Ovis aries: one gene and its partner. The protein of the gene in region 1 binds, or shares a complex with, the protein of each later gene. Links are inferred from orthologs where the notes say so. Each region holds a gene or a part of one and is shown on either strand. Other genes may lie near its edges.

Region 1 (4,493 bases):
CAGACCATTTTGCCTTTCTGAACATGCGTATTTCATGAAGGGGCTTGGGTAGTATACGCACCTTCATGAAGGGGCTTCAGCAGAGGGATTTAACATAGAATAACAGAAAATGTTGACAGAGTTCAGGTTTTAGTTGATTGAAGTCACAAAGTCAGAAAAGGTCAACATTATTCCTTATTTTTCCTTCAGGCTGGTAACTGAGCATGCAGTTACCACCCTCCACTTGGTGGGAGGAAGGGTGGGGATGTCGGGTGAGGGGGGCAAGGGGGACTTAGTTCCTGTAGCACAACTCAAAGATGTGTATCAGATTATGTCCAGCCCTTGAGGAGGAACTAGGATTCTTGTTTCATAGCTGAATTATTGCTTCCTGATTGCAATCCTTTGTTCCTTTCAGATCATTAATTACTAAGACCTGTTCAAGGGGAAGCATTGTGGCCAGGCTTAGATCACGAAACAGCTTAGGCAGAAAATGGCTTCTCTTATGTCAAAAAGCTATATTGAGTTCTTTTCCTCCTAGGACTTCCCCATATCCCCCCATTCTATCTGCTTACACTGGGACCTCAACCTCTCCAGAGATATGGGGGACATCTTCCCTGAAGAGGTGGATGGAGCATAAGATCCCAGCAGGGATCAGCGGGGCTTCCTCCCAAGAACTGGTGTGTCCCCCATCCCCCAGTCCTGTAAAGCCACCCCAAAGTCCAAGGCCCTGCGTGTAGTGGTACCTCTTCCACACGCAGGCCCTAGTCTCACTCGATAGAAACCTGCTCGTGTTAAATGTCTCAAGAATGTCAGGACCCACCCCCCCACCCCCACTTTTGACCTTTGGTTCTCTGTACCCCTCCTTTTTAAAAAATATTTGGCTGCGTCAGGACTTCATTGGTTTGTGGGAGCTAGTTCCCTGAGCAGGGATGGAACCCCCTTCATTGGCAGCATGGCGTCTTAACCACTGCACCACCAAGGAAGTCCCTATTCTGATTCCATTTGAAAGAGAAATATCGCTTCTACGACGGAAAGCAAACAATCACAAGGCTACGTGAGAATAACTGCTTGAGCGAGTGTGGCGCAGGCGTTCCCTTGATACAAGCTGTGCTTAAAATATACAGGCTTTTCCTGAGAAACGCCAGGCGGGACAGAAGCTCCAAGTTGGGCCTGGGCTCTGCCCATTTGGCTACACTGAGTCCCTGGGGGAGGCAAAAATAGGGTAGGCGTTGGTCCCATTTTACAAGCGGGGAACCTTCTCTGGAGGCCAAGTGACGGCCCCAGTTCTACGCAGATGAGGTCGGGAACTCAGAAGCCAGGATCTCGTCTGACACAGATCCAGCGGAAGGCGGGCAGTGCAGCGGCAGGCGGGCAGTGAGGACGCATTCCGCCGGGCGCCGGCGGCCTTGCTTCTCGGTGCCCTGCTAGGGTACGGTGACCGTGAGCCTCCCAGACCACATATCTACTCCGGGGCTGAGAATCCTCAGGTACGGGAGCGCTGGCCCCGCCCCGTAGCCCCTCCGGGCCCCACGATTGGCTCCACGGGCAGGGGCGGGGCCGGACGCAGAGCTGACGTTACGGCGTCAGGCGCCGCGGGAGCCGCTTCCTGTTGTCAGTGGCCGGGAGGCCGCGGCGTCCCATCCGAGGCTTAGGGGTTGCAGCGGCTGGCAGTGCCCCCGCCCCCTCGCTTCTCCCTTCGGTGAGTTAAGGATCCGGGGCGAGGCGGGCAGCAGAGGGGCGGCGAGGCCGGGACGCATATGGGCAAGGGGACACTAGCCCTTTCCGTGAATCCAGACCCCTGGTTGCCTTGAGACTGCCTTGCTTCTGAGCCCTCACCCTTCCCAGCCCAAGCTCCGCGCCCCACTCCAACCCTAGCCTTCGGCCCGCTCTGCCGCTGCTGGCCTGTCCCCTCCATTTGCCACTCGTGACTTGACCCTAGGGCTTACCACCCTCCCCCCTCCCCCCACCGGTCTTGCGTAAATGCAGCCTCATCCTTGACCTCACTGTAGCCCAGTTCCACCCCTGACCTTGACCACATACCTCTGCTTCCCCCCAACCCCTTTGGCGATCCTCATGCTGCACACTAACCTCGATTCTGGTTCGGTTCGCCCTTTTCATGATCAGCCTTCTTACCCTAATCTTACACACCCTCTGCTCAGCCCCCCAAGGTATGCCCATCCTGAAGACCCCATCTCTGTCCCACTCTCCTTTAAGACCCACCACCAAAGTAGACGCCCTGTTGAGCACACGGTTTTTCTTTTTGGTAACTGATCTCAGCCCTTTCTCAAGTCTTACACACCTCTTGCCTTCACAGACTCAACCCCTCACTTCTTAGCCCACCATAGACTTCCTATCCATCTCCAACCATCAGAGGACACTCCTGTCCCTAAGTCTTTGCTAAACTGCCCACGACTCTTGGTGCCCAGTTCTTAACGTCCTCACCCAATCTTACTAAAAATGAGGTCTCCTGCCCTCTCACCTCTGCTGTCCCCATCTCAGTTCTACACCCGTTTTCCCCTTAACCCAGTCCCCACTCAGTCTGAGAATTAGTGAAGAGTCCCCCTGCCAACCTCACCAGCTGCCCCTCAACAGCCAAATGTCACTGCCTGCTGGGAACCCAGCAGTTAGACACTGAGGGGCTTGATGGGTGCAGGCAGGGCCTCAGGTGGTAGGTAAGTGTGGAGAAGTAGAGCTCCCTGCCTTGGGTCAGCGTCAGGGATATTTTTCCCAGGTGTCTGGTCCCCTGGACTTGCCCCCTGAAATTGTATGTCTAACATTCATATTAAATGACTTGTGCTGCTGCCGGAATGGTAGGTGTCACCAGATACCTGGAAGGTGAATAATGGCCGCTCACCTGGCTCCCACATAGCCTGGGGCAGTGGAAGCCATCACTTCCTGTTGGTTGGTTTTCTAGCCGGGAGTAAGCTCAGGGAGTACCACTGTGTAGCAGTGTTCACAGAGCCATGTTCATGAGTGTGGTCACTTGTTATGGACCTTCGCCTGGTGCTTCTGCCAGCTAGAGCTGAGAGCAGGCCTGTCCTGACACTGAACACAGGGAACGCAGTGGATGCCAGAGATGATGTTACATGCTGTGAGGAGCGTAGGTGAGAGGGCTCCCAGGGGGCTACAGGCGGGTACAGCGGCTGCTGAATCACTTCCTCTTTCTGCAGGTGCTGGATCTTTGAGTTTGGCCCGTTTGGTTACCCATGAACATGGGGAGCCCAGATATCTGAGTAGCTGAGGCAGAGGGACATTCCTGAGGCCCCACTTTCAGCATTTATCATCGCCTGGGCTTTGGGGGTACACATTCTCTTCAAATTCTGACGACCTGGCTTTAGAGGCCATTTGGTAGCAATTTTAAAGGGTCCCCAATAGGACCTGTTGTCTTTGTTTGCCATTCCTAGTCTCTTTTTTTCATATTTATTTACTTATTTGGCTGCACTGAGTTCTAGTTGTAGCACTCAGGATCTTTTTAATTGCGGCATGCAGGATCTAGTTCCCTGACCAGGGATCAAACCTAGGTCCCCTGCACTGGGACCATAGAATGTTAGCCACTGGACCACCAGGGACGCCCTCTTGCCATTTATAGTCTTGTTCCTTTGAAAAGTTGAATGCTCTTCTCCCTTCAGTGTCCCCCTCGGCACCCTATTAAGGTGGGATACATTGAAATAGTTTTAGCCAGCTGGCAGGGTGGTTTAATGGAAGGTGTTCCGTCCTGGCTGAGAACCATATACCTCAGCTTCCCTCAGCCTGTGAAATGGAGATTCGTGCCCTGAGCCTTATTTTTGTTTTATTCTTCTGTACATCCAGTAGATATTTTTTGAGCACAGCTGTGTGCTGTGTGTTGCTCTAGGCACCAGAAATGCAATGGTGAATGAGTCAGACAAAATTCCTGTTATCATTCATTCAGAGTTAGTTGGTCCTTGCTGGAATCCTAAAGATGAGACAAGAATATGGGGCAGATGGGTGTTATTGATGGAAGGAAGGAAGAAGGAAAGAAAATTGCTCTGTCTTCACTGACTTCACATTTCTGGCCTTACTCACTAGCCTTTGGTTTGGGAATCACAGGGCTAGAAATTTCTCTCCCTCTAGCTGGCATCTGATGACTTCAAAGCCCGTTCCACACTCTCCCCACTCACTTCTCCTGCCTCAAGACACTTGTCCAGAAATGCAACTGTCTTCAGGTGGAAAGAGGTATACTTTACTCACTCAGCACTCACATGTCTGAAAGATCAGCTGCCCTTCTGAATCAGAAGATAACTTTGTCCTTCTTTTCCAACTGTAAACCATGACTCATCAGTTCATACAGCAGCTGGATGGCTTAAATGCCAGACTGTTCTCAATAGCTCCGTACAGGGTTGGATTCAGGCCGTAGAGAGCAGGCTGTTGGGAATAGCTGAGAAGTCTCTAAGGAGAGGAGGCTGCTGTTCACTGATGGATGGAGTGTTTCAGAACTGAAGAAGCCCAGCAGTTCTTTTCTTCCTTTGGTGTAAGTCTCATCTAAGCCATTCTTT
Region 2 (4,275 bases), on another chromosome or scaffold:
TTGCAGGTGAGTTCTTTACCAGCTGAGCCACAAGGGAAGCCCATACAGAAGCAAAATAAACTACTTTTCTTTGTGTCTCTCCACAAACCTAGAGAATGTTTGGTTTTCTCTATGTCATCATTATTAGGCTGAAGACTTCAATGTCCGATGTCCTGCATGGAACAGAACCAGGGATGACCCATGAAAGTCATGGTACCTTCAGAGACCATGGAAGAAGTCCAAATGGTCCTATTTATTCTTAGGACATACCTGAATAAGATGGCAGGACCACTGTGCTCCTGGATGTAAGGTAAGGAGGTGATCAGCATCAAATGAGAAAGCTGAATCACTAGAACCATAATTAATGCATAAAAGAAGCACAATCAGGTGAAACACCCTGATCTGAGAATAAGGAGACCAGTGAATCAGCTTCTATGGATCTCAGTTTTATCATCTTAAATGCAAGATCCTGAGAATAACAACCAGTGTTCTACACACATTCCTAGACCTGTAAAAATATGAACAAAATATGTTGGAAATACTACTTTGCTACACAGCTGGATTTTAACACTGGTTTTACATATTTTTATCTGGACAAATTGTTCAACCTTTTGGGAATACCTATTAGTATTTCTTACTGTGAAAAATAGCAATATATTTCAGGATAAGGTGAATCACTATTCAATTTGCTTCATTACTGTAGTATTACAATGTCCTCACATGAAACTGTTTCTATCCATAACTTCTTAGCTTAGGCTCATAGGACCATTTATAGGGAGGACCAGTGCTTTTTGTTTTAGTCACTGTCATGTCGGACTCTTTGCCACCCCATGGCTCCTCTGTTTATGGAATCTTCCAGGCAAGAATACTGGTGCGAGTTGCCATTTCCTTCTCCAGGGGATATTCCTGATCCAGGGATCGAACCTGCATCTCCTGCAATCTCAGGCAGATTTTTACCTCTGGGCCACTAGGGAAGCCTCGATGATCAATGAATGACAATATAAAATTTAATTTGTTTAGCAAAAACAAAATTTTTAAATAGTAGTGAGTGAAGTAACTTTCTTGAACCAGCAACCAGGTGCCTGTTTCATTTCCTTTCTCAGCACTGACCTCCTCCTGCCCGGGGAGAAGGGAGGATTGGAGAAGGGTGATGTCACACAGCCCTACATAAAAGCCTCCTTTGGGCTCCTGCCGGCAGTTTGGAAGCAGCTGGAAGGATGAATTAGGTCCTGGTGGTGAGATTTTTTTTTTTTCCAGGCAGACACAGACACAACTGTTGAGCAAAATGCAGACTCCACAGAAAAGCCCAAGCCTCAGACCTTTCAAGCAGAGGAAGAGCTTAGGTAAAGCTCTCAGAATAGCTGTCTGGGTTTCGGCCCTTGAGACAGCAAGAGAAGGTACAGACTTCTGTATATGCCGATGTGCTCATTTTATCTTAAATGTTCACAGCAACCAGAAGAGAGGAAGTTGCTGGAATCAGAGTGAAGTTCCCTGGCAAGATCCCGGTAAGACTCCATTGTCCTGGGGAGTGGGAGTGAGGGTGAGGGCAGGGATTAGGGGGAGGGGGCTGTGAGAGCCTATTCAAAACACCAAAACCAGCCAGTGACCTCCTTCTTTCTAGTCCAAGTTCCTCAGACATAGAAAAGTGAGGTGTATCCTTTGACATTTGCTTCAGAGGAGATTCAGGTTGAAACCCTTGACAGGTGATAGTGGAGCGCTACCCCAGGGAGAAGTTCCTGCCCCGGCTGGACAAGACCAAGTTCCTGGTCCCACAGGAATTGACCATGACCCAGTTCCTCAGCGTCATTCGGTAGGTAGCTAAGAGCCTGGGGGGTGGGGGGGGGTGTTGTGTGGGCTTGGGCTTTTGGGACAATGAGAGATGGGAGGTGGCAGAGAAGGAGAATGATTTGTGCTCCCCCTTTCTCTTCAATATGCCTTTTGTGTGTGTGTGTGCGTGTGTGTGTGCATGTGTGTGCGTGTGTGTGTGTGTGTGTGTGTGTGTGTGTGTGTGTGGCTGTCCTGCATCTCCATTGCTGTGTGGGGGTTTTTCTCTAGTTGTGGCTGGCTGAGGCTACTCTAGTTCTGCTGCACGGGCTTCTCACTGTAGCGCTTCCCTTGTTGCAAAGCATGACGCTAGGGCGCGTGGGCTTCAGTAGTTGCATCACGTGGGCTCAGCAATTGTGGCTCCCAGGCTCTAGAGCACAGGCTCAGTGCCTGTGGTGCAGGGGCTGAGCTGCTCTGCGACATGTGGGATCTTCCCAGGCCAGGAATCGAAGAACCCGTGTCTCCTGCATTGGCAGGCGGACTCTTGGACTCTTTACCACTGAGCCACCAGGGGGGCCCCAACTACGCCTTTAAAAAGGATGATCTCATGAGTAACCAGTTTTAAAATGATGTCAAATATTTTGCTACCGCCCTAAAATAAATGAGCACTCCCAATATTGATGTATCAGCTATTTTTCCCTTTGTCCTACATTTTACTGGTACTGTGTTTTAATTTCTGCCTTCAAATTTCTCTAAGAATTTTTCAAAGGAACCTTTAGAAACTGGTCCAAAACCCTGTTTTCAGCTATTTTAAAAGCCCAGTGACAGCATTGTACCTCTAAATATTTTCCCTCTTGTGGCTGGGAGGGAATTTGGGGTAGGAAAATGCACTGTCCACCTGCTGAATCACTGAGCAGGAGAACCACACCTTCCCCCACATCCTTCTTTCTTCCATTCAGAGCAAGGGAAGGCGTAGAGTAAAACCAGTGTTGCTGACTTTGAAACTTAAGGGATTGAGGTGGTCATCTGCCAGCTGGACTCAATAAAAAGTGATATGAAACCAAAAATAGCTGACTAAGGGTTCCGTAAACATGGCTGGTGTGTGAGTCTCCCTGTGCTGGAAACAACCTCTCAAAAGTTTTGGCTGATGCAGACAGTTTCATCTGAGAACTTATTATGATGCTTTTTAAAATGAGCTCTTTCAGAAGGCCCTGCATTCTTCTCAGACCTACTTAAGGGTTAGGTTAATCCATGGAAATTGGGGCAACTCAAGGAGAACCACAGTCGGATGTAGACCCCTCCTTCTGTCAGCCAACAGGCTGCTGGGGCACAGCGTGGCTTCACCAAGAAGTGAATTTTGACACAACTTCCTCCTTTTTTCCATACAGGTACACCTCCAGTTATCATACGCTTCATCCTTCATCCTAATAATTTTGAATCTTTGTATGTATGTTAGTCACTCAGTCGTGTCCAACTCTTTGCAACCCCCGGGTCTGTGACTCACCAGGCTCCTCTGTCCATGGGATTTCCCAGACAAGAATATTGGAGTGGGTTGCCATTTCCTTCTCCAGAGTATCTCCTCGACCCAGGAGAACCTGATCTCCTGCATTGCAAGCAGATTCTTTACCATCTGAGCCACCAGGGAAGCCCTTGAATCTTTACATTAAGTCATAATGGGTGCTTAATATCAATATGTTTAGATGACTTGACTCTTAACCTTGTCATTAAGCACACTGATATTAAGCACCCATTATGTATCATGCACTGTGCTGGGAGCTGCACAAAGAGCAATGAAAAATACAGACCAAAAGTCCTATGCTAAACAAGATTTAAACTAAAGTTTCCACTCTTGGAGACTCCTCACCCTTAATAAAATGAGACCCTCGTGGAAGAAGAAAGGAGATGAAGGTGCAATGTGGAAATATAGGAGCCCCATCTTCAGATCTACACTTTCCATGTAGAACAGGCATTTGCTCACCACACGAGAGCAGTGCAATGGTCAGGGTCTGGTCTTTGGATTATCCAGTGTTAGTTAACCAGATTCTGAAATTACTTCCTCTCCCACCCACCACATAAATTTAGCTCCTCCTAGCTAAGAGTAGCGGAGAAGGCAATGGCACCCCACTCCAGTACTCTTGCCTGGAAAATCCCATGGATGGAGGAGCCTGGTAGGCCGCAGTCCATAGGGTTACAAAGAGTCGGACATGACTGAGCGACTTCTTTCACTTTTCACTTTCCTGCACTGGAGAAGGAAATGGCAACCAACTCCAGTGTTCTTGCCTGGAGAATCCCAGGGATGGTGGAGCCTGGTGGGCTGCCATCTCTGGGGTCGCACAGGGTCGAACGCGACTAAAGTGACTTAGCAGCAGCAGCAGCAGCAGCTAAGAGCAGGGGTGTAATGGCTGTGCCTCTAATGTCTGGGTGGAGGATGGTCAGACAGGGCGAGCCATTGCCAACAGATTCATCTTGCTCTGCTATAAAAACAATTCAGAACTCCTATGAATCTAGCCAAACATGGCTGCTCCTCTGCAT

Evidence for each region.
Region 2: the proteins of PLEKHM1 (region 1) and MAP1LC3C are in contact, whole or in part, in a crystal structure (PDB 5DPW), measured with the Homo sapiens proteins. The link is inferred for Ovis aries from reciprocal best matches to the Homo sapiens genes PLEKHM1 and MAP1LC3C. Residues at the interface, in NP_055613.1 of Homo sapiens: Glu632, Asp633, Glu634, Trp635, Val636, Asn637, Val638, Gln639, Tyr640; in NP_001004343.1 of Homo sapiens: Phe13, Arg16, Lys17, Glu25, Ile29, Phe33, Lys36, Pro38, Asp54, Lys55, Thr56, Lys57, Phe58, Leu59, Val60, Pro61, Glu63, Leu64, Ile72, Arg76, Phe114.

What each region holds. Positions count from the first base shown.
Region 1 is NC_056064.1:44,871,285-44,875,777, reverse strand, and holds the start of PLEKHM1 (pleckstrin homology domain-containing family M member 1), read left to right. Parts: upstream 1-1,580; 5' UTR 1,581-4,417; coding exon of another isoform or gene 4,418-4,468; intron 4,469-4,493. UniProt on the Homo sapiens protein: Acts as a multivalent adapter protein that regulates Rab7-dependent and HOPS complex-dependent fusion events in the endolysosomal system and couples autophagic and the endocytic trafficking pathways.
Region 2 is NC_056065.1:34,213,669-34,217,943, reverse strand, and holds the start of MAP1LC3C (microtubule-associated proteins 1A/1B light chain 3C), read left to right. Parts: upstream 1-1,175; 5' UTR 1,176-1,264; coding exon 1,265-1,322; intron 1,323-1,428; coding exon 1,429-1,484; intron 1,485-1,682; coding exon 1,683-1,789; intron 1,790-4,275.